Rattus norvegicus: one gene and its partners. The protein of the gene in region 6 purifies or fractionates together with the protein of the main gene of each other region. This does not show direct contact. Links are inferred from orthologs where the notes say so. Each region holds a gene or a part of one and is shown on either strand. Other genes may lie near its edges. The genes, in order: Cip2a, Pds5a, C7h19orf25, Mettl9, Pds5b, Slc30a4 and Stx8.

Evidence for each region.
Region 1: the proteins of Slc30a4 (region 6) and Cip2a purify together in Homo sapiens (affinity purification with mass spectrometry; 3 studies listed by BioGRID and IntAct, counting the BioPlex papers as one, with this or other methods). This does not show direct contact. The link is inferred for Rattus norvegicus from reciprocal best matches to the Homo sapiens genes SLC30A4 and CIP2A.
Region 2: the proteins of Slc30a4 (region 6) and Pds5a purify together in Homo sapiens (affinity purification with mass spectrometry; 3 studies listed by BioGRID and IntAct, counting the BioPlex papers as one, with this or other methods). This does not show direct contact. The link is inferred for Rattus norvegicus from reciprocal best matches to the Homo sapiens genes SLC30A4 and PDS5A.
Region 3: the proteins of Slc30a4 (region 6) and C7h19orf25 purify together in Homo sapiens (affinity purification with mass spectrometry; 3 studies listed by BioGRID and IntAct, counting the BioPlex papers as one, with this or other methods). This does not show direct contact. The link is inferred for Rattus norvegicus from reciprocal best matches to the Homo sapiens genes SLC30A4 and C19orf25.
Region 4: the proteins of Slc30a4 (region 6) and Mettl9 purify together in Homo sapiens (co-immunoprecipitation; 3 studies listed by BioGRID and IntAct, with this or other methods). This does not show direct contact. The link is inferred for Rattus norvegicus from reciprocal best matches to the Homo sapiens genes SLC30A4 and METTL9.
Region 5: the proteins of Slc30a4 (region 6) and Pds5b purify together in Homo sapiens (affinity purification with mass spectrometry; 3 studies listed by BioGRID and IntAct, counting the BioPlex papers as one, with this or other methods). This does not show direct contact. The link is inferred for Rattus norvegicus from reciprocal best matches to the Homo sapiens genes SLC30A4 and PDS5B.
Region 7: the proteins of Slc30a4 (region 6) and Stx8 purify together in Homo sapiens (co-immunoprecipitation; 3 studies listed by BioGRID and IntAct, with this or other methods). This does not show direct contact. The link is inferred for Rattus norvegicus from reciprocal best matches to the Homo sapiens genes SLC30A4 and STX8.

Annotation. Positions count from the first base shown.
Region 1 is NC_086029.1:65,279,415-65,282,914, forward strand, and holds part of Cip2a (cellular inhibitor of PP2A), read right to left. Parts: coding exon 3,438-3,500; intron 1,788-3,437; coding exon 1,675-1,787; intron 506-1,674; coding exon 411-505; intron 1-410.
Region 2 is NC_086032.1:42,904,920-42,909,132, reverse strand, and holds the start of Pds5a (sister chromatid cohesion protein PDS5 homolog A), read right to left. Parts: upstream 2,801-4,213; 5' UTR 2,795-2,800; coding exon 2,660-2,794; intron 1-2,659. UniProt on the Homo sapiens protein: Probable regulator of sister chromatid cohesion in mitosis which may stabilize cohesin complex association with chromatin. May couple sister chromatid cohesion during mitosis to DNA replication.
Region 3 is NC_086025.1:10,039,505-10,043,557, reverse strand, and holds C7h19orf25 (UPF0449 protein C19orf25 homolog), read right to left. Parts: upstream 2,630-4,053; 5' UTR 2,451-2,629; coding exon 2,321-2,450; intron 1,809-2,320; coding exon 1,609-1,808; 3' UTR 501-1,608; downstream 1-500.
Region 4 is NC_086019.1:185,026,316-185,029,815, reverse strand, and holds part of Mettl9 (protein-L-histidine N-pros-methyltransferase precursor), read right to left. Parts: intron 237-3,500; coding exon 27-236; intron 1-26. UniProt on the Homo sapiens protein: Protein-histidine N-methyltransferase that specifically catalyzes 1-methylhistidine (pros-methylhistidine) methylation of target proteins.
Region 5 is NC_086030.1:5,174,442-5,177,941, forward strand, and holds part of Pds5b (sister chromatid cohesion protein PDS5 homolog B), read left to right. Parts: coding exon 1-107; intron 108-2,333; coding exon 2,334-2,472; intron 2,473-3,500. UniProt on the Homo sapiens protein: Regulator of sister chromatid cohesion in mitosis which may stabilize cohesin complex association with chromatin. May couple sister chromatid cohesion during mitosis to DNA replication.
Region 6 is NC_086021.1:130,218,889-130,222,388, reverse strand, and holds part of Slc30a4 (probable proton-coupled zinc antiporter SLC30A4), read left to right. Parts: intron 1-1,603; coding exon 1,604-1,750; intron 1,751-3,500. UniProt on the Homo sapiens protein: Probable proton-coupled zinc ion antiporter mediating zinc import from cytoplasm potentially into the endocytic compartment. Controls zinc deposition in milk.
Region 7 is NC_086028.1:53,153,300-53,157,493, reverse strand, and holds the start of Stx8 (syntaxin-8), read right to left. Parts: upstream 2,801-4,194; coding exon 2,784-2,800; intron 1-2,783. Other genes in the region: Cfap52 (cilia- and flagella-associated protein 52), read left to right, coding at 3,699-3,768. UniProt on the Homo sapiens protein: Vesicle trafficking protein that functions in the early secretory pathway, possibly by mediating retrograde transport from cis-Golgi membranes to the ER.

The DNA of each region.
Region 1 (3,500 bases), on a different chromosome or scaffold from region 6:
GAAAATTAAACCTGCTTTATATACTCAACCCTTGAAATCAGCCAAGTGGAGTAAACAAACAGCGATCTTAGTTTAAAAAACAAGAAAGCACGGTTGGTAAGATGGCTCGGTAGGTTAAGAGCACTTACTGCTCTTGTAGAGGACCCTAGTTCTGTTCTCAGCACCCACATTGGACAGCACACAGCTGCCTATAACTCCAGCTCCAAATGCCTGAGCTCTCTTTTGTCCTCTACAGGCACACATGGTGTATCACAAATACGTTCTCAGGTACAACACATACACATAAAGAAGTGAGTAAATCTTTATTTTTAAGCTAGACAACATTACTCAAGGAGAAATATCTACCACATAGTTTCAGTTTAAAAATAAGACAACAAATTATCTAAGTACATGTTTTGTTGCATACTTACATATGACCAATCAAGAATGTAATTAAGTCATCTATATGGGCACCAGAGTGGAAGAATTTGACATTATATGTTAATCTCTGCAGCAGTTGAATGCACTGAAATTGAGAAAATAATTGTGAGTAAACAAACGCATGAAAACAGATTGGCTACTTATAAAAGTGGACTACTGCACACATTTGAGCACATCATTTGAGGAACCAAATAGAACAAGAACCAGGCCAGTTCCTAATTCTAATTTTATTTGAAATATATATCCTAAGAACCTTGGAAGTCATTCTTAGTTTATCTGTTTCTACATATATTTTCTCAAGCCTTATCATTGGTACAGTTTGAGTGGCACCTAACTGTGTCCATGAAGGGTGGGTTCTGTGATTTAACCTTAGTTCCTCAGGAGGGAATTATAGGAGGTGTCAGGTCTCTGGCAGTTAGGGCCTGACTAGAGGTTTTTAGGTCACTGGAGGTATGATGTATTTCCCATGTGACCCCGTGCGTAGTTCTCAAGAGTGCAAAGTGTTAAAAGGAACAAACCTGGTCCCAGTATCTCTCTGACCTTACCTGAGGTATGATCACATCCTACCCTTCCCACTTGCCAGAAAAGCCTTTGACAGGTCTATGGTTATGTAGATGGCATGGGCTTGAACCACCTATGGGATAAATACATCTTTTCCCTCATCAGATGGACCATTTTAAGTGCTCGGCTGTGGGAACCAAAGCTGACCAGAATCATCTACCCTGTTCCCTTACTTACATTAAAACTTGTGGTTGAATTAGCTTGAGGATCTATTTTTCCTCCTATATGTTATCTCTATAACTGCATGTCAGTTTAATTGGTCATGTTTTCCTTCTCTTGCAGATGATCACGTTTTAGATTCAATAAAATGATGGGTGCAAGAGTTTTCAAATTATGCTAACAAAGACTAAACCATAGCTCTAAATTTTGTTATGATGTTTCTTCAATAGTCTGAGACTACATACCAACCCAAATTATAATTTTAAGACGAATAGTTCACACTTCAAAATGCACACATCTTTGTTTTTAAGTGAGTTTTAAGTTAAAGTGGTAATAATGCAGATCTGGTCTCCTCTGTTCCCTTCTCAAGAAATATTTACACAGTGAGTATGTGTCCAACCAGATCTAACAAGAACTGTATATGATCACGCTGTCATCAAGTCAACTGTAACACAGCAGTAAAAGGTGTTAGCAGTTTTGGTCTGAGGATAAAAAAGGGAGACCAGGTAACAGTGAACGTGAGGATTTGTATACCTGTAAAAACACTGAATTATTGTGGCACGTGCTGCTCCGACAAACCACTCCCGACAACACACTATTCAGATTGTAGATATTCTGAAGACAGTCTCGGGTTTCATTATCTATAGCTGAAAGTTAAAATAAAATGGCATAAAATATATCACTCTTACATGTAGAAATCATTCAACGAAAGTAAAATAATTTGTTATATTATCTTGATATCACATGAGCTAGCTGTTTAGTTTGGTGTTTTGAGTCACTCTGCCCAGACTGGCTTGGAACTCATGGCAATTCTTCCTGTTTCAGCCTCTGGGGTGCCGAGGCTACAGGATTAAGTTACCACAGTGGTTAAGACAGATTTCTTCTTTTATTTAATGCCCACTAATTTCAAAGGACAAATGTTTTCTACATAGAATAGCAAAGAAAAAAACTTGTTTTACATATGTATAGAAACTTGGCTCTTAAAATAATGTAATAGCTGGTGATATATGTCTATAATTATCACACTTAGGCTGAGGCAAGAGAAATTTGACTTCCAGCTCAGTCTGGGTTACATGCTATGGGCAGTCAGATTATCATTTCAAGTTCTTTTATGAACCCAAATACTTAAAATATAAAGCTTACTACTTAAAAAATATTAATTTAATTAATTTAAATTAGAAATATACATATCAAGCCATTAACTAAGATTGCATCCCTAAAGGTAAAAAGGATAAGAAAGGCTGGGATAACAAATAAAAAACAGGGGCTGGAGAGATGGCTCAGCGGTTAAGAGCACTGACTGCTCTTCCAGAGGTCCTGAGTTCAATTCCCAGCAACCACATGGTGGCTCACAACCATCTGTAATGGCGATCTGATGCCCTCTTCTGGTGTGTCTGAAGACAGCTACATGTACTCATAAAATAAATAAAGCTTTAAAAAAAAATAAATAAAAAACACCATTTTACTCTTATCTGTGATGTATAATATGACAGCTACTTGTCAATATGCAATTATTTAAATTAAGATCAATTAGAATGAGATTCTGCTCCATAGACTTCAAATGCTAAGAAGCTTAAAGGATAATACAAAATCAGAATATTTATCATCAATAATACTTTGATTGTTCTGCTAAACAATGCAATGTCTATCTCTGCTAAAACTTGAATACTAAGCATACCTGAATATTATAACCATATATAAAAGTATCCAACACCTCTGCACACACACAAACCAACGGGGGAATGACTAATAGATGGACTTAAAATGAAACATAAAAGGAATAGAAAAGCTACTATAGTTTATCTTTAGTTCTAAGTTAAATGTAGTTTATCACAGAAGAATAACTGATTGGTAGATATGTCTTTCTAGTTGATCTCCTTAACATTGGCACTACGTTCATGTGGCTTCTGGTTGTTTTAACATTCAATAGAATGTCATTTCCCAAATGCATTCTTTTCCGTGGAACCTGAAAGTCTTTGATATATGGCAGATTCTTTGACCCAATAATTTTAAAACATGATTATTTATATGTGCCTATAATATACATGTGCCTATATATCTGCTATCTATCTATCTATCTATCTATCTATCTATCTATCTATCTATCTCTATCTATCTATCAATCATTCTGTCTGTCTGGAGGGACTTTGAGAGATCTGTAATAATAACTCTAAAAGGTTCTACAATTAATCTTTTGAATGTAAATCATTCTTTAAGAAATTCTATAATTCTATCTGGCTTTTAAAAATATTTTCATAGTCTTCCAAACTCAGAAAAAGAAACCATGAATACATTACCCAGTTGAGACAGCAAACTGATAATACTTAAGATCAGTGAAGCACTTATGTTTGGGTCTTCAA
Region 2 (4,213 bases), on a different chromosome or scaffold from region 6:
AAAAAGGGCTGTGAGTTCAAGACTGGCCTGAGTTAAACAGTAAGACCCTGTCTCAAAGTTGGGGTAGGTCCCAGCACTCAGAAGGCAGAGGAAGACACTCTGAACTACATAATGGGTTCCAGGACAGCAAGAGCTACAGAGAAGACTCCTCTCCCTCCAAAACAACACCCAAGGTGGGGGATGCACAAGACAAACACACATAGACATGCATGCTAATTTTATTGATCAGCTTTATTTCTTAGTTTGGATTCTTACTCAAAATACACAATATAATCTTGGGAAATATTAATACTCTTTAAGTAGTAAGATACACTTCAGAGAGCTGGAGAAAGAGCTAAGTGACTAGTGTTTGCCTCCTAAGTATGAGGTCCTGAGTTTGAGGTCCTGAGTTTGAGCCCCAATTCCCAGCACTTGTGCTCCATGTGGTGCAGACAACTGCAATCTCAGCAGGAGGGGTCTGGAGGCTCGCCCAACCTAACAGGTGAACTCTAGGCCAACCAGAAACCTTGTCTCAAAGGAAGTGAGGGCAATACCCAAGACTGTCCTCTGCCCTCCAGGAACATACACAAAAGACCTTGTATGAGAATTCTGGAGGTTTGCTTTTTTAAAAAAGCACAGAAATGTTATAAGAATATGTTTTCATTTTAATTCTAGGTGTAAGGATACAGGGCTGCTTCACAGCAGCTGACAAGAGGCATGGTTTTGCTAGCTGCAGATAGTTTCTGTGTCTGTATATGGAATTCTGGGAACTTTTCAGCGGGTATATAAATGCTAGGACCCTGAGAGGAGGAGTCAAGTGGTTGTTGGTCCTTTAGGAAGCTTGGTTGCAGTTTGTTAGTAGCCATGCTCAAAGAAAGAAGAAGACATTAAATTAGATTCAGGGGCCTCTATCTCTCTCTTCCCTCTAGTGATGGGGTAAAACTGGGGGGATAAAGGGTGGGGAAAAAGAACCCACAAAGTAGCAAAGACCAGCTTCAGTGCCTACATACCTACACATAAACATTCATGCACGCACACACACACACACACACACACACACACACACACAAAATAGTCTCACATTTTTTTAAAAAAGGCTTTAGTTGAACCTGGTGGCACATGTCTATATTCCCAACACTTCAAAGTTCTTCAGAGAACAGAGAGAAGTTGAGACCAGCTTTATCTACTGAGCAAGTTTTAGGCCAGACCCTGTCTTGAAAGCAACAGAAAGATTTCTCTGCTTTAGACTGAGGTATAGCTCAGTGATAGAGCACTGCCTGCACGTGTCCCCACCTCCACACCCAGAAAAAGGAATGGAAGGAAAACAGAGAAGATGCCTTTTAATTAAAGAAGCTAGGTCTTTCAAAAGACCAACAAATAGAAACTAAAACACAGAAACACTTTTTTTTTTTTTTTGGTTCTTTTTTTCGGAGCTGGGGACCGAACCCAGGGCCTTGCGCTTCCTAGGTAAGCGCTCTACCACTGAGCTAAATCCCCAGCCCCACAGAAACACTTTAAACACATAATATTTACTAGGTACTATGCTCAATTCTAAGATCAGGCCCTAAAAATACATTTTACAAAGTTGCATAAGGCAGAAACACTGTCAACAATGTTTCCTGCCTAGCCTTCCACCACATTTGACTTTAACTTTGAAGTGTGCCTTTTAGCATAATGGTTCTCAACCTTCCTAAGGTTGCCTCATGTTGTGGTGACCTCTAACAAAATAATTCCATTGCTACTTCATAACTATAATTTTGCTACTGTTATGAATCATACAGGATATCAGACAGTTAACCTGTGGGAAAGGGGTCCTGACCCACAGGTTGAGAACCACTGTTGTTAGCAGGGCATGGTTACAGCTCTAGTGTTTTGGAAGTGGAGGCAGGAAGACTGTTAAGTTCAAGAATAGCTAGGTTACATGTCCTCTTTCAAACAAGTCACCTGAGCCATTCTTTGTCTCCCCACTGCCAATGCCCTACTTCCAATAGTTTAAGATCTTTCACAGACTACTGATAGCTCCTTACAGGGCTCTGCCTCATCGTCTCCCTACTCCACCCAAGCCAACTGTGACAACCAAAATGACTGTTAAGATTGCCGACAATAAACAAACAAACAAACCTCACAGAATATCAACAATCCAGTCCTCAACTTTCTTGGGTTCTAAAATAAAATCACCATTTCTCTTTAAGCTCAAATTCTGAAAAATCTGTACATTGTATGAAGTTTAGCCCATGTATAGTTAGGCTTCCAGACATTAGGAAATCATGAGAATCTAAGGGAGAAAAAATATGGCTGCTTGTGCTCAAATCAGTCTTTTTTGGAGCCGATGAAAATAGGAACTTTCGTGGGTAAATCACTACACCTAAGGGTATGAGTTGCTTAAACAATATTCATTAAAGAAAAAATAACCAAAGGGAAGCAACTAAACCATGTGTTCTTATGCGCAATAAACAGAACAGAAAAATGATCACACTCTTTAAATTTCCCATGCTACTATGTCTTTTCAGAACTTATCCAAAGATATCGCCAAGTTTGAACAATACTTTTCCGGGACGGTGAAGATATCTTTAAAAACTTAGTACTAAAAACTCCAAAGGCCAGGTTGAGTAGTCAAATGAAACCACATGAGTCACAAAAGCCATCCAGAGCACAGAAGAATATCGACCCAGACCCTTACCTTCAAACGTTTGATCATTTCGTCGGTGGTGATCTTGTCCGTGATCTCTTTTACTCCCGGAGGGTAAGCGATCTTCCCGTCCGCACTCACGACGCCACAGAGGGCCGTGGCAGGCTTCGGCTGCGTGAAGTCCATCCTGGGGGATAACTTTTCTTTCACAGTCCTCTACCGGCCTCTATCGGTCAGAAAATCAAAGTTCAGCGGGAAAGGGGCGACTTTGTAACCTCTTTTTCATTTCAAAAATCTCTAATCTGGAAAGGGCCCTTTCTTCCCCCCGAGGCCAGGGACCCCGTCACTCGCTCCTTCCCAGGGTTCGGACCCCGCAGGCGTCCGCCACCCCCACCCGCGCCAGCCCGGGTGCCACGGGGTTCTCGGCTGCAGCAACCCCGGCCGCGAGAGGCGCCGAGCAGCTCCCGGAGTTTCCTAGCCCTCTTTTCACAATGAAATGTACCCCCGAGCACCTAGGTCGGAAGTTTGGTGGCCTCCGGGGGTCAGCTCGGACCCAACGGCCCCAGCTCGGCTCAGGAGAAGCGGCCCGGTCCCCGCCTGGCCGGTCACCTCCGGGAAAGGAGACTCGAGGCCTAGAGGGTTCAGCTTAGGCCGCAAAACTAGGTACCCAAGAGGACCCACGCGCGGCGTCGGCGCCCAGGAGCAGAACGCCGTGGCCGTGCCCAGCCCTGGGCCCCCGGCGTCCCCGCCGCGCGGCCGTCCCTCTCCGGCCAGCCGGCCACCCCCGCCAGCCGCCCGCGGCCCGAGCCCCGAGCCAGGAAGCGGAGGACCCGGCTCCGCACTTCACATTTTGTTCCGTAACTTCAGCAACCGAGCCCGGCGGCGTCTCAAGCCTCTCGGTCGCCCGGCGCTACTCTGCACCGCCGAGGCCTGAGCCACGGCTCCGGGCAACCCCGCCGGGCCTCAGCGCGCGCCCTCCCCTGCGGTCTCCCCTTCCGTCCCTCCCTCGCCGCCGCCGAGGGCGCGAGCCCGGCCGCCGCTTTACCTCCTCCTCATGCGGACGGACGGTGCAGCGAGCGCCGGGCCTCTGTCAGGTGGTTGCGCCGCCGCCGCCGCCCCTCGTCGGGCTGCACACAAAGCGGCTCCGTGGGTCCCGCCGCCGCCGCCGCCGCCGCCCGCCCGCCCCGGAGCGGCGCTGGGGCTGGCGGTGCCGAGGAGCAGCCGCCGCGGGGGGAGACGCGGGCCGAGCGTGCGCCGGCCGGGGCGACACTGCCGCTCTCCGTCGGGCTGAGGAAGCGCAGCCTCGGCCGCGGCTCCTCCGAGAGCCCGCGCGCGGGTGCACGCCCGCGCGTCCCCCGCGCCCGCCCGCACCTCGCGCCCACCCGCACCAGACGCCCTCTCGCCGCGGCGCGCTCCCGGCTGCCCGTGCCCCGCGGAGCCGGAGCGTCGCGCACACCCAGAGCCCGTCACGCGAGCGGCGCGAGAGCCCGCGAGAGCACCGCGCACCTCGCTCCCGCCCCTTCTTCCGCCGGCCGAGCTCCCGCCTCCCTCGAACCCGACGCGGCCGCGCGCCTGGTGGACAGCGCCGCCATCCGTTTGGCGCCA
Region 3 (4,053 bases), on a different chromosome or scaffold from region 6:
ACCCTGATGTACAGTGTACACTTCTGCACCCTGATCTACAGTGTACACTCTGCACCCTGATCTACAGTGTACACTTCTGCACCCTGATCTACAGTGTACACTCTGCACCCTGATCTAGTGTACACTCTGTAACCTGATCTACAGTGTACACTCTGCACCCTGATCTACAGTGTACACTCTGTAACCTGATCTACAGTGTACACTCTGCACCCTGATCTACAGTGTACACTCTGCACCCTGATCTAGTGTACACTCTGTAACCTGATCTACAGTGTACACTCTGCACCCTGATCTACAGTGTACACTCTGTAACCTGATCTACAGTGTACACTCTGCACCCTGATCTACAGTGTACACTCTGTAACCTGATCTACAGTGTACACTCTGCACCCTGATCTACAGTGTACACTCTGTAACCTGATCTACAGTGTACACTTCTGCACCCTGATCTACAGTGTACACTTCTGTACATACTGACCCCGGAGGACGCCCAGCCTGGCTTCTGATTCTTTGTTCATATCTTTAATAAAGCGAGACATTTGGCTGCTCTGGAGTTTCATCTTTAACATGGGCTCCAGAGCGGGGAGGTTGTTCCAGAACCTTCCTTCTTCTGCAGCTGTTGTCCAACCCGAGAAGGCGATTCGGGGCTCCCGAGCTCCCCACTGACTGGACAACGTGTCAGGTCTCCACATGCTGGAGCCAAGGTTGATTGAGGGTCACCGGAGCTGTACTTGGCCATCAGCCACTGGTCACTTGTGGTGGAGGTGTCATGGTGGGAGTGGAGACCAGGAATCCAGGCTGCACCAGTCAGGGCAAGCCAGACCCTGTGGCCACCAGGAATGTCGAAGGTCAGGAATGACATGGCCCACAAGCTAAAACCATTTCTGACAAAACAGGTCCAGCCAGCTTGGGACCCAAGAAGGCCGGTGCGGTGCCAACACCCGAGTGGCCAAGGGGTGGCATGGATTTGGGCCCCCAGTGATCTAGTCCAGCTTAAGGGAGATCTGTGTTCAGGCATCAAACATCTTTCATCTTCAGAACTAAAGTCCGGCCACTCCAAGAGTGGTGGGTCTTCTGCAAGAAGACAAACCAAACCCTAGTCCAGAAGGGTCAATGTCCACCACACACAGGACTCCAGCCTTTGGGGGGCTCCTCTGGGACCCATGGCCTCCCCAGAATGAAAACCCCTTTGTTGAGTAGCCCCAGCCCTAGGAAGGGGGTAGCCAGACTACTCTGTCACCAAGCCAATAGTGGCTGACCTGCTGTGGATGTTGGGGACGGAGATCTTCACTGTCCAGGGTGACAGGGGGCAGGAAGAGCACATTGGTGGAAGACTGGTAACGATGGGGCAGACTGCCTCTGAGCCCTGACCTGCAGTCAAGTCCTAGATGCAATCTAGGCTGGTGTCCCCAAAACGAGGTGGCCATGTCCCCAAGTCCCATCACCGGTGAGAGGCCATTAAGGATGGAAGAGGGGACAAAGCCCCAAGCACGCGGAGTGGGCCACTGGGTCCCCCAAGGGTAGGGTTGGAGCAGTAAATGTTGACCCAGAGCTTCTGGTTGTCAGGTGCCCAGGCCTGGGCCAAGGACATCAGGTTTAACCTTGGCTCTAGGACGTGGCTGATGTCACCTGACTAATATCCTGTTCCAGCCTCTGACCAGCTTGCCGAAGGCCATCGAACTTCTGCCTCAGCGCATCCCCCGCCTGCCGCAGCCTCTCGTTCATAGCCACGTAGGTCCGGCTCTGTTGGTAGATCTGCTCCTGCTGGACCTCAGAGTCCTCAGCCCTTGGGAGTGGCTCTAGGGGGTCTGAAGAGAAGAAAACAGTGTGACCATCCATCAGTGATTCAAGGTCTTCCTTGGCCATGTGGTGAATCTGAGGGTAACATATACCTACCTAGACACTAGAAAATTAGTCAGTTTCAGACCTGAAAAAACCCAGGGTTTGGGGGTCACGGAGAGGACAGGTCCCCTCCAGCCACCCTGGCTTTGCTGTTCTACCCAGGACTGTCTGGGTTCCTGGATTCTAGGACCGGATTCACACAAATGGCCCTTACACGTACCATTCCCCCATTTCTTTGTAGGAGCAACTGGCCACGCCCCCTTGAGACATGGTCCTGAACTCACAGCAATCCTCCTGCCCTAGACCCCTGGGTTGGCTTAAATCACCAAGCTCGGCAGCACTTCGGCTTTATTTTTGATGATCCCATTTTGTAGGGGAAGAGAAGGACAGGGACAAAAAAGATAGGTCCCTAGGTGTCTGGCTGCAATCGGTTTGCTCCCCACTCGGGCTGGGACTCGGGACTCTTATGTTCTCCTACCTTCTGGGGCCAGGGCAGTAAAAACAGGATCTTGGGCGGGTGCCCCTCGCACGTCCTCCAGGATCTGCTCTACCGTGGGAGGCGCGGGGCGAGTGGGCAGCACCACGCGTTTCTTGGCCTTGGAGCTCATCTTGTAGGCGAAGCGCGCGCTAACGGGGTGCACTCTCGGCTTGGCCCTCTCACCCCGCGAACTCCTACGCACCCGTTACGGACCTGCGCCGAGCTCCCTGACCCTCCTCCTGGGACCTCGGAGTTTGGTTCGACCTCCGCGTCAGTATGCCGTAGAAAAACCCTGCTGCCTATCTTCGCTCCAAGAACTTAGGAAGCCGCCGCCACTTCCGCTTCCTCCTTGAGCGCCCCTACGTTCTAGCACTTCCGGTCCGCTCCAGCGCCACTCCTCGGGAAACCCCTCCCCCTTCTTAAAGAGCCCTAGGCTTAGATGCTCCTAGGCACAATCCAGTAAGATCAAAGGGAACTGTGCTTCTGTCACCACGTGTGGTAAGAGGCAAGGAGTGATTTTGAGTTCGTGTCTCCCTGGCCGAGCAGTAAATAGTAATCAGTGTCCAACCATTGCCAGGTACACAGTGGGCGCTCAATAAATGCTGGATGGAACCTAGCTGCAGGGTAAGGTATTCCTAGAGTCTTGTTTCCTTGTGGTAGAGCTTTAATCTCAGTACTCGGGAGGCAGAGGCAGGCAGACCTCTGTGAGTTCCAGGTCAGCTTGGTCTACACAGTGAGACCCTGTCTCAAAAGAGCAGTGTGTGTGTGTGTGTGTGTGTGTGTGTGTGTGTGTGTGTACACGGGGGATGGCGGTGAGCTAGCTTTCTGTTTATGGCTGTTCAGCACTTGGTGGATCCCCCTGCCAAGGGTCTCTGGGCTCAGAGCAGTCTTCCTTTGTGGTTCCTTATTCCTCCAGGGCCCCATGTCTCACCCTGAGCCCACCCTACCCTCAAGGATACCACAAACTCGACATCTTCTGTTTAACTTTATTTGCCAACTATGAGGTTAGACATGGGGATGGTTTGGAGACAGGGAAGGGGCAGGTGGTTGGTGGCTGTGGTCTGACCTCTTGTCTGCCATACCTGCTCCAAAAAGAGTGAGGAAACGTCTCTTCCACTGGGAGCAGCTGAGGCTGAGCTGCGGGCTGTCACGTGACCCATGCAGCTCTCTGCCGTGGCCTTCTGGGGCATATTCCTATCCCGGCCTGGGAGCAGGGCCTTGGGGTACCGGCCTTCTGTCCTGAGAGTGGGGCATCTCTGGCTCTCCAGGGGTATCCAGCCTGGGGAGAGGTGGGCCTTCCTCAAGATGAGGGGCCTTCCAAAGGCCCTGGTTAGCAGGGACAGCACCATGGCCCAAGACTGATAGCCAGGATGGCTGCCAGAGGTGACAAGCCTTGGAGGGGCTCTGAAGCACTCCCAGCATGAGGGGCAGGGAACAGGCAGTGTAGTCGCTGGTCAAGCTGCCGAGCAGGTGTGGTAGGAGGGTGACAGCTGTCCTGTCCCTTGGTCACTGGCTGCTGTGTGTGGCTGTAGAGCCACCACCACTGCTTGCTGGAGATGAGGCAGAGTTCTGCCACGATGGAGAGGGGACAATGACTTTCTGCAAAGGGACAAAATGGAAACACAGGGAGTGAGGCTGCAGCTGGTGGGAGCAGCCAGTGCCTGCCCGCCCATCCCGGCCGCTGCGCCTCCTCACCCAATAAGTGACCATGCGCTGCGGCCACTCACCCTGGC
Region 4 (3,500 bases), on a different chromosome or scaffold from region 6:
TCCCAGCACACCTCTAGAACTGGTACCTGTATTTCTTCTTCTGGAGCTGCCAGATCATTGTTTCAGAAAGTTCAGTGGCATAAATTTCTTCAAAATGAGGGCTCATGATTTTCGTGACTTCTCCATCTCCAGCACCTAAATCAAGAAGTCTATGGGTTTTCCAGTCCGGATTAATTTTAAGCAGTCTCTGAAACTGATCTGGTGAGAACACAAACATGGAGCCTCTTCCTAGCAACCTGGGGGAAGAAGGACAGGAGATGAAATCTATGACTCTAAGAACGTCTACGTACACAGAGAAAACAGCACCGAGGTTTTCTGACTTTGTGAAATTATTATACAACTTAAAAAGTTTATCTTTCGTGGCCAAAAAACAAATTCACAAAGAAAAGGTGGAGGGATGGCAGAGACGGCAGACTACCCCAGCCAGACGGCAGCACCAGGCAGAGGAGCCAAGCAGGCCTTTAGGAAGATGGACTCAACAACAGTGATAGGAAAAGTAACTCTGTATAAAAGAGTCTTAAGATGCCTAAAAATGGATTTAAAATGCTTTAAAAGAGGAAAAGAGCAACGGTTGTGAGATCAGCTGGATGACATGGAAGTGGGTCCATACTCTGGTTGGTTTATAGTTAGCTGAGACCTGTACTTTATTAAAGGTCCTAAAACACTTCAAGCTGATAATACTGACTGAAAAAATAAAGTAAAAAGAGGCTGGTCAAGGTTATATGGGGCCTAAAGGAGCCCTCCCTCAGAAAAGCAGGTACAGCCCAAGCAAGCCATAAAGAGGCACACTCCCTACTCCCTTCTTGCTCCCAAATCCTGGTTTTCTCCATTAAGCCAAACCACCTTTCTTCAAATGAAGTAAAAAACTCAAACAGCACAAATGCAAGGAGCTATTACACTGCAGTGAGGCTGAGTGCCTGCAGCTGCCAGCAGCCTGCTTTTAAGATTTTCTCTGCAACCTGAAGCAGTTTCTGAGGCAACTCCTCCCCAGATCCTGGAAAACACACGGCAAAAGCACTGGCACGAGAAGCAGGGAAGTGTACATCATTCTGTCACTCTGGGAATACTCAGAATGTAAAAGAGGTTTACTGTTTAATGACTATCAAGATGCTTGTAACAAGATGCTTACCATAGGACCAGCGTCACCAACACTAAAAGGCATGGAGATGATGTACTAAATTCCCTCTCTTCTTTTGCCATTAAAACCACAGAGAGTTAACAAAATCTAATGATGTATTTACAGTAAGTCTTCTGCCTCACACAATGCTGAGACCAGAGAGTAGGAACCAAAAAGAGCCCAGAGACAGCTAAGCATGTTGCTAAGAACCACAACTTCTTACCAAAGAAAGTTTTATCTCATAAGACACATAACTCATAACATTGCTCATAAGTCAAGCAGAAGGGCTCCAGACAGCCTGATGCTGACTTCATGCCACAGATCCAAGTTAAGTCATAAAATATTTTACCAAAAACTTTCCGAGCTATAATAAAACATGCTTCCCAAGCCATCTCCTTGGGATGTGAAGAACCCTGACATGATACTATAAAATTATAAAGCTGGGAATCACCTGAGGTCAGAGCCCACAAAGTTAACTCACCAAAATCTACATTTAAAGGTACCAAAAAGAAATGAGGAAAATACTGCCTTATTTGCAAAGAACATGCGCAATGGGGGCTCCATAAAAAAGTGTCAGAGTCAAAATCTACAAGTCCAGTTAGTTAACCAAAAACAACTCTGCCCTTCAAGAAGTTCAGCAAGATCTGAAAAACTAAACTTCCTACAATGTTTACCTCGCACAACAGAATCATCCGAGTACATATGGAATCCTAATATGATGTCAAGGTTTTGGAAACATATCATATAGTCAGAATGGTCTCCGCTGCCTCTAGTCTTTCATAATCATCCTAGGTTCTCTAGTCAAGTCTCTCTGGATCTAACTCTACAGAGGAAGTATGTCTCCTCCTTATACAATAAGATGAACAAAGCTATCAAGTCTCTCCAGGGATATAGCTTTATGGTAGATAGAGTCCTTGCCTCAATTGTACCAGGCAGTAAAATTCCCAGTACCACAATTTTTTTAAAGAAGAAAGGAAATATTTTTAAACTGGAGGTGGTGGCACATGCCTGTTACCCCAGCAATCAGGAGGTATAGGCAGGAATATTGCCACAAATTCAAGACCAGCCAAAGACATATAACAAGACCCTATATAAAAACAAAATCAAAGAATAAAAAACAACTCACTTTACTTAGCCTTCTTTCTTCCAGGAAGAAATTTGGTAAGTATCTGAGCTCAAAAAGGTTTCATCGTAACTATGTAGTTATTTCTATTGTAGTGAGTTAACATAGTAGAAAATATCTCTGGGTTCAAAACTGAGTTACTGAGTTCCCAGTTCTGTTTTGAACTGGATTAAAACAGGGCAAGAAGGCAGGCAGGCAGAAGCACTAAGTTTAACAAGGGAGGAGAGGCAGTAAGATGGTTCAGTGGACAGAGGTACTAAGTCTGACTGCCTAAATGCAATCCCAACCCACATGGTAGGAGAAAACCAATCCCCACAATTTATCTACTGCCCTTAATATGCCCTGACACGTGCACAGGTACATGCACCCGCACACATGCATACACACACAGGCTCACATACAATAAAAAGTAGAATAAGCAAGGCATACAGTATGCAAGAGGTGTATATCACTGAGTTCAGGAGAGCAGGAGTTTGAGGTCAATTTGGGCAATATATCAAGGCTCCATCAAAACAAAAGGGTAGAGGCAGGGTTATAAGGGAAGCCAACAGTACTTACTAATTATATTGCCTCTTTGATCAAACTACTATACTCTAGAGCAAGGAGTCTTAAATGAGTTTCTTCCAACAGGTAGAAGGGAAGTAATTTAGTTTGAAACTGACAATCATATAAAGTACTGAATGTAAGTACTTTCTAAAGAAAAGATTCCCACCTTTTATTACTCAAAGAGGTAGAGAATCCTTCATAAAAAATCTCTGCCGGGGTGACTCACCTGATGTCTGAAGAAAGAATAATGGCAAAGAACAGAAATTCAATACAACCAATTTTAGGAATAAAACATCAACCTAAATTACATAAACTCAATTTCCAATACAAAATAACAAATGTTTACTGAAGCAAACATACGCCAAGCTCATTTAAATAAGGATGAAAATCAAGTAAGAAATCCTGAGGGATGGCTTATGGTGCCTGAAAACATATTTAAGGACCAGATGATGACTGGGGATCCAGACATTTAGCAAAAACTAGATTCAAGCCTCAAGAGGAAAGAAAAGAAGAGCACAAGAGGCCTGTTAAGTACCATGACCAGTTGCCAAAATTTGGCTTTCTCCATTCTAGGCCTTGCCTATGTTTAAAAATTCAACTAAGAAGTGATAAATAATATTTATAGATAAATAATATTTATGAAGTATTTTCTGTAGGTGTATGAAGGAACCACTCTCAGGGCAGAGATTTCTACACTAAAGTTACAAACTTTCT
Region 5 (3,500 bases), on a different chromosome or scaffold from region 6:
GCAGAATCTCCTGAGACTAGTGCAGTTGAATCCACACAGTCCACACCACAGAAAGGACGGGGAAGACCATCAAAAACGCCATCACCATCACAACCCAAAAAAAATATGTAAGTTGTAAATAATATTAAATTTCAAACCAATTTCAAATTATTTTGCAAACTTTATAAGTTTATAAGCATATTTATTGCTGTATTTAAATTCCAAATATTTTGTCCAAATATTATTCAAATATAAGATATTTTTATAAACTTATCTAGGGAATTAACAGCCCAATTAATATTTGTACATTTTTATAGGTCTAGAGAAGTCTTTATAAATGAATGCCAAATAGTTATGTAGTCTTATGGTGTACACACGTGCTGTTTCCCAGTAGTCACTATGCCTCAGCCAGGTTTCCTCATAGCTGCAGGCTACAGCTCCTCTCAGTCATTCCCCTAGTGAACTTTCGGCACTGGCATCTTTGCGTCCTTATGCTTACTTATGCAAATGCATTAACAGGAGAGGCAGAGCTTTGAGTCTGCCCAAGTCACCAGCACAGCACAAGCACCAGCGCTGCGAGCTGCACAGCAGACAGGGGCGTCTCCCGTTAGAAAGTACAGCCAGAGCATCATGTCCTGTTAGTCAGAAATGCCGTCTTCTCCTACGCATGCTCACTGTGTAGCTGTAACCAGTACTTGGCTTTCAAAACATTAGTGCAGAGTTGGCACCAAAATAGGAGGTCATCGTTGGGTACCTTTAAAATCAAGTATAATTACATCATCTTGGTAATGGTTCTATCAAGCCCTGATCGTATACTTGCCTTTCTTTAGTTTCCGCACATCTCAGCTAAGTACTTGGGTACCATAGAGTTTTTCCTGTTCCTGTGTGCTCCATAGGAAAAGGAAAAGTTGCCCGAGTGTCTGCTAGTGCCTAACTCCATGTAATTTCTCTATAATGTTAGAAGTACAGGTAAGTACCTTATCATGACAGCTTCCTGACTGCTGGATCCAACGAGCAAGAAACTACTGTAGTCAATATTTAAAATATCTCATCTTTGTAATTCTTTTAATATCTGGGCATCATAAACTTAAGGGCTTTAAGTGGTTATGATTTCCCCCTCAAGTTTCATAAGGTCTTTCCATGAACCTTCAGAACCAAAGTACATTTTTTTTCAGCATAGAAGGATACTTTTTACCTTGTCAGACTGTTTTCAATTTTCTAGACAGTTGTTTTCCAGATCTGGAATAATATGTCATAATTTGTGTGCTTTTTGTGTTCTAACTGTAATGTAGTTGAGAACACTGTCACCCATGTCGTTCTCTGTGGTGGCACATCACAGAGCCAGTTCTTATCCTCACGAGACTTGCTCTGCAGTGGACAGGCGGGCACTAAGGAGAAACACACGAATAGGAAGCTATGACTCGGATGTTTATCTTGAAATATGTAGGGCATCTTAAGAGAATATAGTGGAAAGAAGTTGGGGGAATTTTCTTTCTGGAATGTGACAGTGAATTAACTATTGAAACTAATAGAAGAGATGGGATGAGATGACTCACTGGGTAAAGACTGTTCCTGCCATGTCTTACTGCCTGAGTTCAATCCCCAGTACCCACATGGCAGGAGAAAGAACCAGTTCCCTGAATGCCCTGTGACTTCCACAGGCTGTCTGTGGCACATGTGTGTTCACACAGTATATAAATACAAAACAAGTAGGAGGGAGGAGGGAGAGAATGCTGTAGGCAAAGTTTCTGAAGTGGGGAGATTTTGGTAAATCCAAGGAACTGCAAAAGGCAAAAAGGTTCAGTAGATTGTCACAGTGAGGAACAGGCAGGCAGGCCAGGACCGGAAGGGACTTACAGGTTCATTCTTGGTGCAGTGCAGGGGTTTGTCTGGGGTGATGGCGTCTGTTCTGTTTTCAGAGGATCACTGTAAGGAAAGGGCAGGTGCTAGGAATGCATGGTGCCAGCAGTGTCAGGGAAGCTGGGTGCATCTGTGTGCTGGATTTGGATTCTCTCTGCAGTCCAATGCGCTCGCTGTTCTCAGCTCAGAGGATGCTCGCTTTGAGGCTTAGTGAAGACTGTGATAAGGAGGAAAGATGAGGCAGATGCTGGCTTCAGGTTGTTGTGAAGTCCTTTATGGTGATAGGCTGGGTGACACCTTTTTTCCTTTTCTAGAAACTGTAAGATCCTAAGAGTAATGCTTATGGGTCAAGATGAAAATTTATTTCTCATCTCATGACATAATTGAGAATAAAAATGACCAAAATTCATAAACTATTTAAGACATTTCTTATAGTGAATTAACACACAACTTAACATCGGGATTCTCATTTTATTTTCTGTGTTTTCCTTTAGCCGTGTAGGACGCTCCAAACAGGTAGCTACTAAAGAAAACGATTCAAGTGAAGAAATGGATGTGCTTCAGGCCAGCTCTCCTGTCAGCGACGACACTACGCAGGAAGGAGCAGAAGAGGAGGATATTTCTGCAGGAAATGTATGTCCTTTTTGAAGTGTCACATATGTGGTATTACAAAATGCAAAAACTGAGCCAGTAAATATTTAGTCAGCTCCATTATAACACTTGCTGTTGTCGATAATTCTAGACATTTATGCCTTTGTAGATTAGTTCGCTGTGTTATTTTACTTACCAGCTAGGATAATGAAGAAACAGCGTTGAGGGGAGCTTGAACTGAGAATGATGGGGATTGCGATGTCTAGAGAATGTGTCAGCTGAGTGCAGAGGAGTCCAACAAGTTTCTCGCTGCCAGTCTCGGCATGGGAACCCCTGAAGTACTGTGTATTTGTACTCATGGATGTCTTTGACGTTTCTGTTCTGAGTCTCCTGATAGAAACCAGAAGAAGCCCCACTGAGTAAAAGTGAACCTTAAAGTCCAGTGAGCCTTTGGGATTGAGTTGTAAACGGCCTTTCTGTGGCTGGCAGTGCTGCTGCTTTTACAGAAGTAGGAGCTGGTACTTTTCCAGAGACTTCCTTCTTTTAAATAGCAGATGCTATTGCTAGCTATCTCATACTGTCTGTCTGTCTGTCTGTCCACCCACCCACATCCCAAGTGCTGTCCCTCCTCCTGGTCCCCTACCACATACTTCTTATTGAGGGGAAAATTAATCCAAATAGGAACTGTGTTCCTGATACATTAGTGCTAAAATTTTAGATCAGCCCAGTCAGTTCTTTTCATTTTGGAGACTTGAGTTGTTTGGTCGGTTCCCAGTGTTAGACTCTGGGCCAGTTCTGTTTCACGTGGTTCAGTGGTTCCATCCCGAGGGTTTGTGTAGATGAGTCTCCACAAAATCATCTCAAAGCAGGTCAGCTTTGTTTCTTAAGGACTTAGAGGAAGGGGGTTAGAACCTAAGATGAATCATTTGTAGTAATGGAGAACAGCTGATTATCAGGTCCATTCACGCAAAGCCCTGCTCCTTTTCCTTCTGCTGGTTTATCCTGACCATGTTTTGAGTCAGAGTTTTAAGCTTCCTGTAGGCCTTGCTAGTAAACGGTAGTATGATTAA
Region 6 (3,500 bases):
AAAAACTCATAGAAAATTTAGAAAATGAGAAGCAATCATGGTAATGCATGCCTTATGTCAGTGTCTGGGAGGCAGAGCCAGGCAGATCTCTGAGTTCAAGGTCACCTTGTTCTCTATAGAGAGTTCTAGGCCATCCAGGGCTACATAGTGAGACTGTCTCAGCTAATCAATCAATCAATCATCAATTAACAATAGAAAATGAATCAAAATACTCTCCCAGAATAGAATAAAATTAATGATAGGAGAAAAAAGAAAATGTATGTGTGTGTTCATGTACATACATACATACAACACTCTGTGTTTGTTTCCCACTTATACACGGGAATATATTCCAAGATCCCTAGTAGATGCCTGAAATCACAGACTGTTCCAGACCCTAATACATATTGTCTTATGTTGCCACAACTAAATATCACAGAGTAAGTAATTTATAAAGCAAAAATGTATATTTACCTTGTGTTTCTGAAGACTGGAAAATTCAAGATCGAGAGGCTGCAGTTGTTGAGGTCTTTTTCATAGTCTCAAAGTAGTACTGAGGGTCACATGATAAGGAAGATGATCCTCATTCAGATCTCTTTTTCCTTTAAAGTCATAGTTTTATTGAAACAAGGCTCTGCCCTTAGCGTATCACTTAACACTACCACCCAGCCATCGGTTTAAAGTTCCACCCTCTTAATACCCCATAATGGAGATCAGCATGGGTTGTGGCGGGGACATTAAAGTCTAACATACACACACACCATACTTATTCCTATGCCATTAATTACACCATAGCTTCTAAATATCTTTTGTTCCTCTTTTCAGAGATTATTATCTGTATAACTATAAGCTAAGCTAATTTTTACTCTTTGGGTTGTTGCTAGTATGCACTTTCTAGAATTCTTCAGTGTCATTTCATGTTCAACCCTTCCTGAATAAAAGAAAGCATACCTTCTTTCTGCTTGGCTGTAATATTTAGATACTGTTGCTATTAACTCACTGTATTCATAGAATTAATAAGTTGAGCAAAAGTCGCATCCTGCTTTTGTTTTTACCACCAACTTAATGGTTAACCTCATGAAGTAATGAACACTTTGAAGACCCTGTTAATAGAAATGGGTTTTTTTCACCAGAAATTTGTGCAGTGGTCCTTCCATACCTACAGATTCCATGTCCACAGGTGCTACACCTGTGTTTCAGTTGGAAAATATTTGAAATATATGTTTATATAGAATGTATACATAATTGTTTTCTTATAGTATTTTCCTAAATAGTGCAGTGCAATAATTACATTGTATTAGATGGTATCAGTAATCTGGAAATAATGTAAATTATGTATAGGTTTATATGTACAGGCTGTGTGTGCAAATATGGTATTTTATATAAGATATTTGAACATGCACAGATTTTGATACAATTTTCTGGAACACTTCTCATATAAATTAAAGGATATGACATCTATACTATTTTTCATGAAACTTTAGAATACCTTGATTTAGTTGTATCAGGATAGAAATTTAGTTAGCAGGGTTTTTTTTGTTTTTTGTTTTTTTTTGTAGGATGTTACACATTTTGAGTTTGATGGCTTACTTTTTGTAGTTACTCTTCCTTCCCTTTCTCCCAGGTGGATACATGGCAAATAGCTTAGCAATAATGACAGATGCACTTCATATGCTAACTGACCTTAGTGCCATCATACTCACTCTTCTTGCTTTGTGGCTGTCTTCAAAGTCACCAACCAGAAGATTCACCTTTGGATTTCATCGCCTAGGTAGGTAATTTAAGTTTATTTGATTTACAATATCTTAATGGAAAGCCATAATGAACTATGACCCCGATTAACTGAAATATTTAAGGTAATAATGGTTTTGAACAAAGAAATGAAAATAAATAATGAGACTTACCCAAAAAGCTATCTTCCATGGAAAACCCCGCTAGGCCTCACTAAATAGTTTGTACAGAATTATGTGGTTATAGTTACTCTTCAAATGTCTCGTGTGCCTGAGTATGCCATAACAAGGAGGCTTACTTCCAGTTTACTGACCTGAGCAAAACTAATTGAGTGACTCATTAATAAGCATTCACTGCTTCTTTTACTTTAAAATTTTCAACTGAAGCCCATTTTAAACATTTCATCATATGTTCAACATATGCTATGTGACTGCACTGTATCAATGTAATTCAGCAAATGCATCCATAATATTTCATTTAAAGACTTTTAAAAATCTATATTATTGCCTACATAGCTCTGATTCTTACTGTTGCTGTGACTTTAAACTTACTCTAAAAATACATAAAATAACTATTTGAACTATTATCTGACAGGCCATATCTGTAGATCATAGATTTGAAAAGTTCAGCACTTGATAATGCACATTAAAGAATTGAGATAAAAATGATATTCTTTGGCTTTTTTTTTTTTACACACTCAAGATTCTAGTCCCCTCCCGGCCCACCTCCTACTGTTCCACATCCCAAACCCCCCCTCCACTATGATGTCTCCACCCCACCCACCCCAACAGACCTCTAAACTCCCTGGGGCCTCCAGTCTCTTGAGGGTTAGATGCATTTTCTCTGACTGAACCCAAACCCCAGAGTCCTCTGCTGTATATGTGTTGGGGGCCTCATATCAGCTAGTGTATGCTGCCTGGTGGATGATCCAGTGTCTGAGAGATCTCGGGGGTCCAAGTTAATTGAGACTGCTGTTCTTTTACACCCTCCTCCTCAGCTTCCTCCAGCTTTCCCTAATTCAACTACAGGGGTCAGCATTTTCTGTTGATTGGTTGGGTGCAAATATCTGCAACTGGATATTGCCTTGAGAATCTACTAAGAAAGCAGAAAATAGGGCTAGAGTTATTAAAAATTGGCACTTTATCAATGAACCAAATCAAACACTATCTGTAGTAGTAAATATCAGCCTGGTTTAATTGCAGTTGTCATGTTCTGTTGTGTAGATCGCTTTGCTCTTAGAAATAACATTTTTCTGGGGCTGAAGAGATGTCTCAAGAGTGCATACTATTCTTTTTAATTTTTATTTTTAAATAACAGTATTCTTTGATTTTTAAGACTTACTTATTTTTATGTTATGTTTATAGGCATTTTGTCTGCATGTATGTTTGTGCACCACTTACATGCCTGGTACCCAGGGAGGCCAGAGAGAGCATCGGATCCTCTGGACCTGGAGTTACAGACAGTTATGTGCCACCGTGTGGGTAGTGGAAATTGAACCTGGCTCCCCTGGAAGAGCAGCCTGTTCTCTTAATTCCTGTGCCATCTCTCCAGTCCTATATGTGTGGCTCTTCCAGGGGAATTTAGTTCCCAGCACCCACAAGAGCAGCTAACAGCTGCCTGCAATTTCAGTGTCAAGGTGAAGAGCTGCCTCTGGTCTTAACAGTCATCTACACTCACACACACACACACACACACACACACACACACACACACACACACACACACACACACACACACACACTCTTAGAGTTTATTGATGGTAGCCTTTTAATTGATGTTTTAAACACCTG
Region 7 (4,194 bases), on a different chromosome or scaffold from region 6:
CTCGGAGGTTAAGAGCACTGCTGCTCTTCCTGTGGCCCTGGGTTCAATTCTCAGGTCCCACGTGGCAATTCAGAATTGTCTCATACCCTCTTCCAGCCTCTGTAAGTTACCAGGCAAACACATGGTGTGCAGACATGCATACAGGCAAAACACCCACATGCTTAAAATAAATAATCTTTTAAAAATTAAAATTCAGGGCTGGAGAGATGGCTCAGCAGTTAAGAGCACTGATTGCTCTTCTGGAGGTCCTGAGTTGAATTTCCAGCAACCAAATGGTGGCTCACAACTATCTTTAATGTGATACGATGCCCTCTTCTGGAAGAGAGTGACAGTATACTCACATACATAAAATAAATTAATAAATCTCTAGAAAAAAATTTCAAATCAACCACCAATAGCACCCAGAGTGTTCCTTATCACAGCATGTTCATCTCCTGTCTCATCTCGCACGCCACTCTGCTCCTTACAAGCGGGGACTCCTGTGCTCATGTGAATGATGTATTTTCCAGGACTGTCCATTTCAAAATGTTGAAAACTGCTGTTTGCCCGGATGTCCCAGTTCTACCCATAAGAAGATAAGTAACTTACTTCCCTAAAATATTCCAGTACTAGAAGTAGTAGCCTATAACCTCAGCAGCTTGGGGAAAACTTAGTGATCAGTCTCATACTTCAAAAAGAAAGGGGTGGTGGTGAGTAAGGGCATAGATCAATGTTTAGCTTATGCAAGGCACTAGGCTCAGTCACCAAAGTGTGTAGCTCGGGCTGGGGCTATGGCTCCAGGTCCTATACAGAGAACTTTGTGTTGTGAACTCCACAAGCACTTCAGAGGCAATGTCACCCCCTAAGCCTAGACTCACGTATACATCAGTATGAACCAGTATGAATCAGTATAATCTGGTATAGGCTTATGAAAAAAAGCAGGTGGTTTAAAAAGACTAATAATAATATAGCAGAGTAATAAGAAAAATGATCCTAGCCCCAACTTCCCCATACTTATTGTCTCCACACCATCACCTATGAAGACAGGAGCTTCAGTCCAGCTCTGTGACAGCACATCAAACATATAAACCCCTAACCAAGTCCCATCAATTAGGAAAGGGACCTAACTTGAGTGTCTATAGAGCCCAGGAAGGAAGAGATCACTGATGAGGCACTCAAACAGGCTGGGCCGCAAGAGGACACTTTGGGCTGACTTCTAAAAAAGTCTAAAGCAGATTTCCCTATAGGAAGGAGAAGCGAAATCTAAACACTGTGGAAGGCACACGGCATAAGCAAAGATGAGAGAAGAAAACATGCCTGGCATGTTCTGCCACATGGAAGGTACAAAATAGCGGACATCAGTTCTCTGCAGAGCGTGGCACGGGAATCTAATGAGATCAGGAGAATTTTACCCAAGACACTCAAGCAACTCTTTTGCTGTTAGTCTTGTTTGTCACAGTGGCTTTCTCATTTGACAGCTGAAAGCTTTCTTGTCCTGCTGGGGACCATACCCAGGGTCTTGGATGTGGTAAACAATTATTCTACCACTGAGCTCAAATTTGAAATAAGTTATGCACACCCAGACAATGCACTGATGTGCATTAAAAATCATGGTTTTAAGACTACTTAAGGGCATGGAGAAATGCTTCCTGTTTTGTAAAATACAAGCAGGATATAAATTCAAACAATAAGTGCACTGGAAAAAAAAGTGAGCACTGATTGTTTCCAAGTGATGAAGGTGCTATCTTTTTTCCTTCAGATACTCAGTAGTCTCTAAACTTCTATCAGGGGTGTATACGATTGTCAAAACCTTATGGGAAAATTCAGCAATTGGCTGGGCATGGTGGCAGAGTCCTGTAATGCCACCACTTCGGAGACTGAGGCAAGAGGATCAGGAATTCAAGATCAACCTAAACTCACTGAGACACTGAAAAACAAACAACAAACAATTCAGCTACTGGCCCAAATAGCCTAGATTCCAGGTAACTCTGAGCCTGACCTTGGGATCCACTCTCTTCATATTCAAAACTGTCTGCCATCAAACAATTATAAATTGTACCAGAAACACCAACATAAGGCATATTCTCCAACACAGACTTTACAGAAATGCAGTGTAATAAATTGTTAATCAGGAAGGTCATGACTTTATAGCAATTTGTTCCTTGTATAGATATTTTTTCATCATTCTCTCCTTGGGGCTTCTTTGCTAAATAAATGATCCCTATTAGGTATTTTCTACACCACTTCTTACTCACATAAGTCTTCATGCTCCTGATGCAGGAAAGGGCTTATTACAAGTGCAAAATTTCCCTCTCAGAGTCCTACAAGTTTTTTGTGAAGAGCCCATAACACCCGTGCCCAACTAGCTACTAACTAACTGGTGACCATGGAGTGTGAACTTCAGTTTATTCCCTTCCTGCAGGGGGATTAATGGGTGAAGGAATATCCCACCGAAAGGTTATATCGACTTCACTTTTACAGGAGCCCAGGGAAGTCTACGCATGCAGTCAGCCACAAGCAGGATAGGCAGGAAGCCCCATAAAAAAGGGGGCAAATTACTCGATTACTCAAGTCCCAGCTCCCCCAGGTCAGAGTCTCCCCTGGGACCACAGAGTTAGCACCGAGTAGGCAGTACATGGCTGAGTCCCCTCAACAAGGAGGATCCTCGCCCGATCCTCATCCCTAAAGCCGCCAGCCTCAAGCTCAACGATGACCAGGGTTTCTGCCAGTCCCTGGAAGCCAGTTCCACCCCCCAAGTTAATCCCCATACACTGCTGCCATCACCGCCATCACCGGCAACTCACCAGGGGTCTGGGGCCATGGTGCAGTCTCCGCCTGCAGCTGGGACACTTCCTGCTCGTAGCAGCTGACTACGGCGGCCCGCGCGGCTCATTCTCCGCAGTTTGGAGGGTGCGCCACCGGAGCCCAGAGTTTGCAAAGTGAAACCTGTTTTATTGACCTCAGAACTACGCCCCAAAGCGCACCCCTAGGGGACAGTGGGTTGCAAGAATCGATTTTTGTTAATTTACATGAATTGCTGGAGGAAAGGAAAATGGTTACATTGCTGAAAAGAATCAAACCATTTTTCCAGGGAATGGAAGCGCTTCAACCCCGGCTCTGCATGCTTTTTTTCTTAATTCAAAACAGCAAAAACAAGCCGGGTGTGATAACTCAAGCCCGGAATTCCAGCACTTGGATGGCTGACGCAGGAAATATACATAGAGGCAACATACACACACACACACACACACACACACACACACACACACACACACTTGCATACTATACTAAAACGTTTTTAGTGTCTTTTAAAACAATTTTTTTCTTTACAAGGAAGTAGCAATTCCATGCTTTTTTTAAGCAACCTATTCATCACAGGCAATTCTCTGTGCTCAGTTTTTCTGTGTTCAATTATTTTTAATAATCATCATGAGGGGCTTAATTTTATAGTTTAAAAAAAGTCACAGACCTTTACACGGAGAGGAGGATATTTACCTTGCGTACCCAGTATCAACCTACCACCTACATTTCCAGAATGAATAAAATACATAATAAGGAAGTCCTCCCTACATTTGCAAGAGGGGAAAATCAACTTAAACTCAGTGGGCTGGGTTTCTGCTCTGGCGTAAACCTAGCACGCATGCGTGCTCCAGTTACCATAACGACTAGGAGACGCTGCACCCTGGAGTTGAGGAATCAACCAGCTGAAACTCTCCAGGATGGAAGAACAAATTTTACCCGAGACCGACGTAGCCGAACTGGAGCTTCAGGCTGTGATCGGCTTCAATGGTGAGGCCTAGAGCAACCTTGACTTGTTACTCAGGGACAGTGAGACGCTGACTTGGTAGCGCCTGAGAGGCAGTGGGGATAGTGGTAAAAGTCTGGCCAGGCACCACCGCCCCCAGGATTCCCGAGCCTAGGGAATTGGTGTGGGTGTAACAGCTCCATATTCAGAGACCAAATGAGTCTAACTCGGTAGGAGTATGAGTAAGGGTCTCTCTCTCTCTCTCTCTCTCTCTCCCTCTCCCTCTCCCTCTCCCTCTCCCTCTCCCTCTCCCTCTCCCTCTCCCTCTCCCTCTCCCTCTCCCTCTCCCTCTCCCCTCTCCCCTCTCCCTCTCCCTCTCCCTCTCTCCCCCTCCCTCTCCCTCTCCCTCTCTCCCCCTCCCTCTCCCTCTTTCCCCCCCACTAAAGTAGAACTCTCAAAGGTTTAAGACC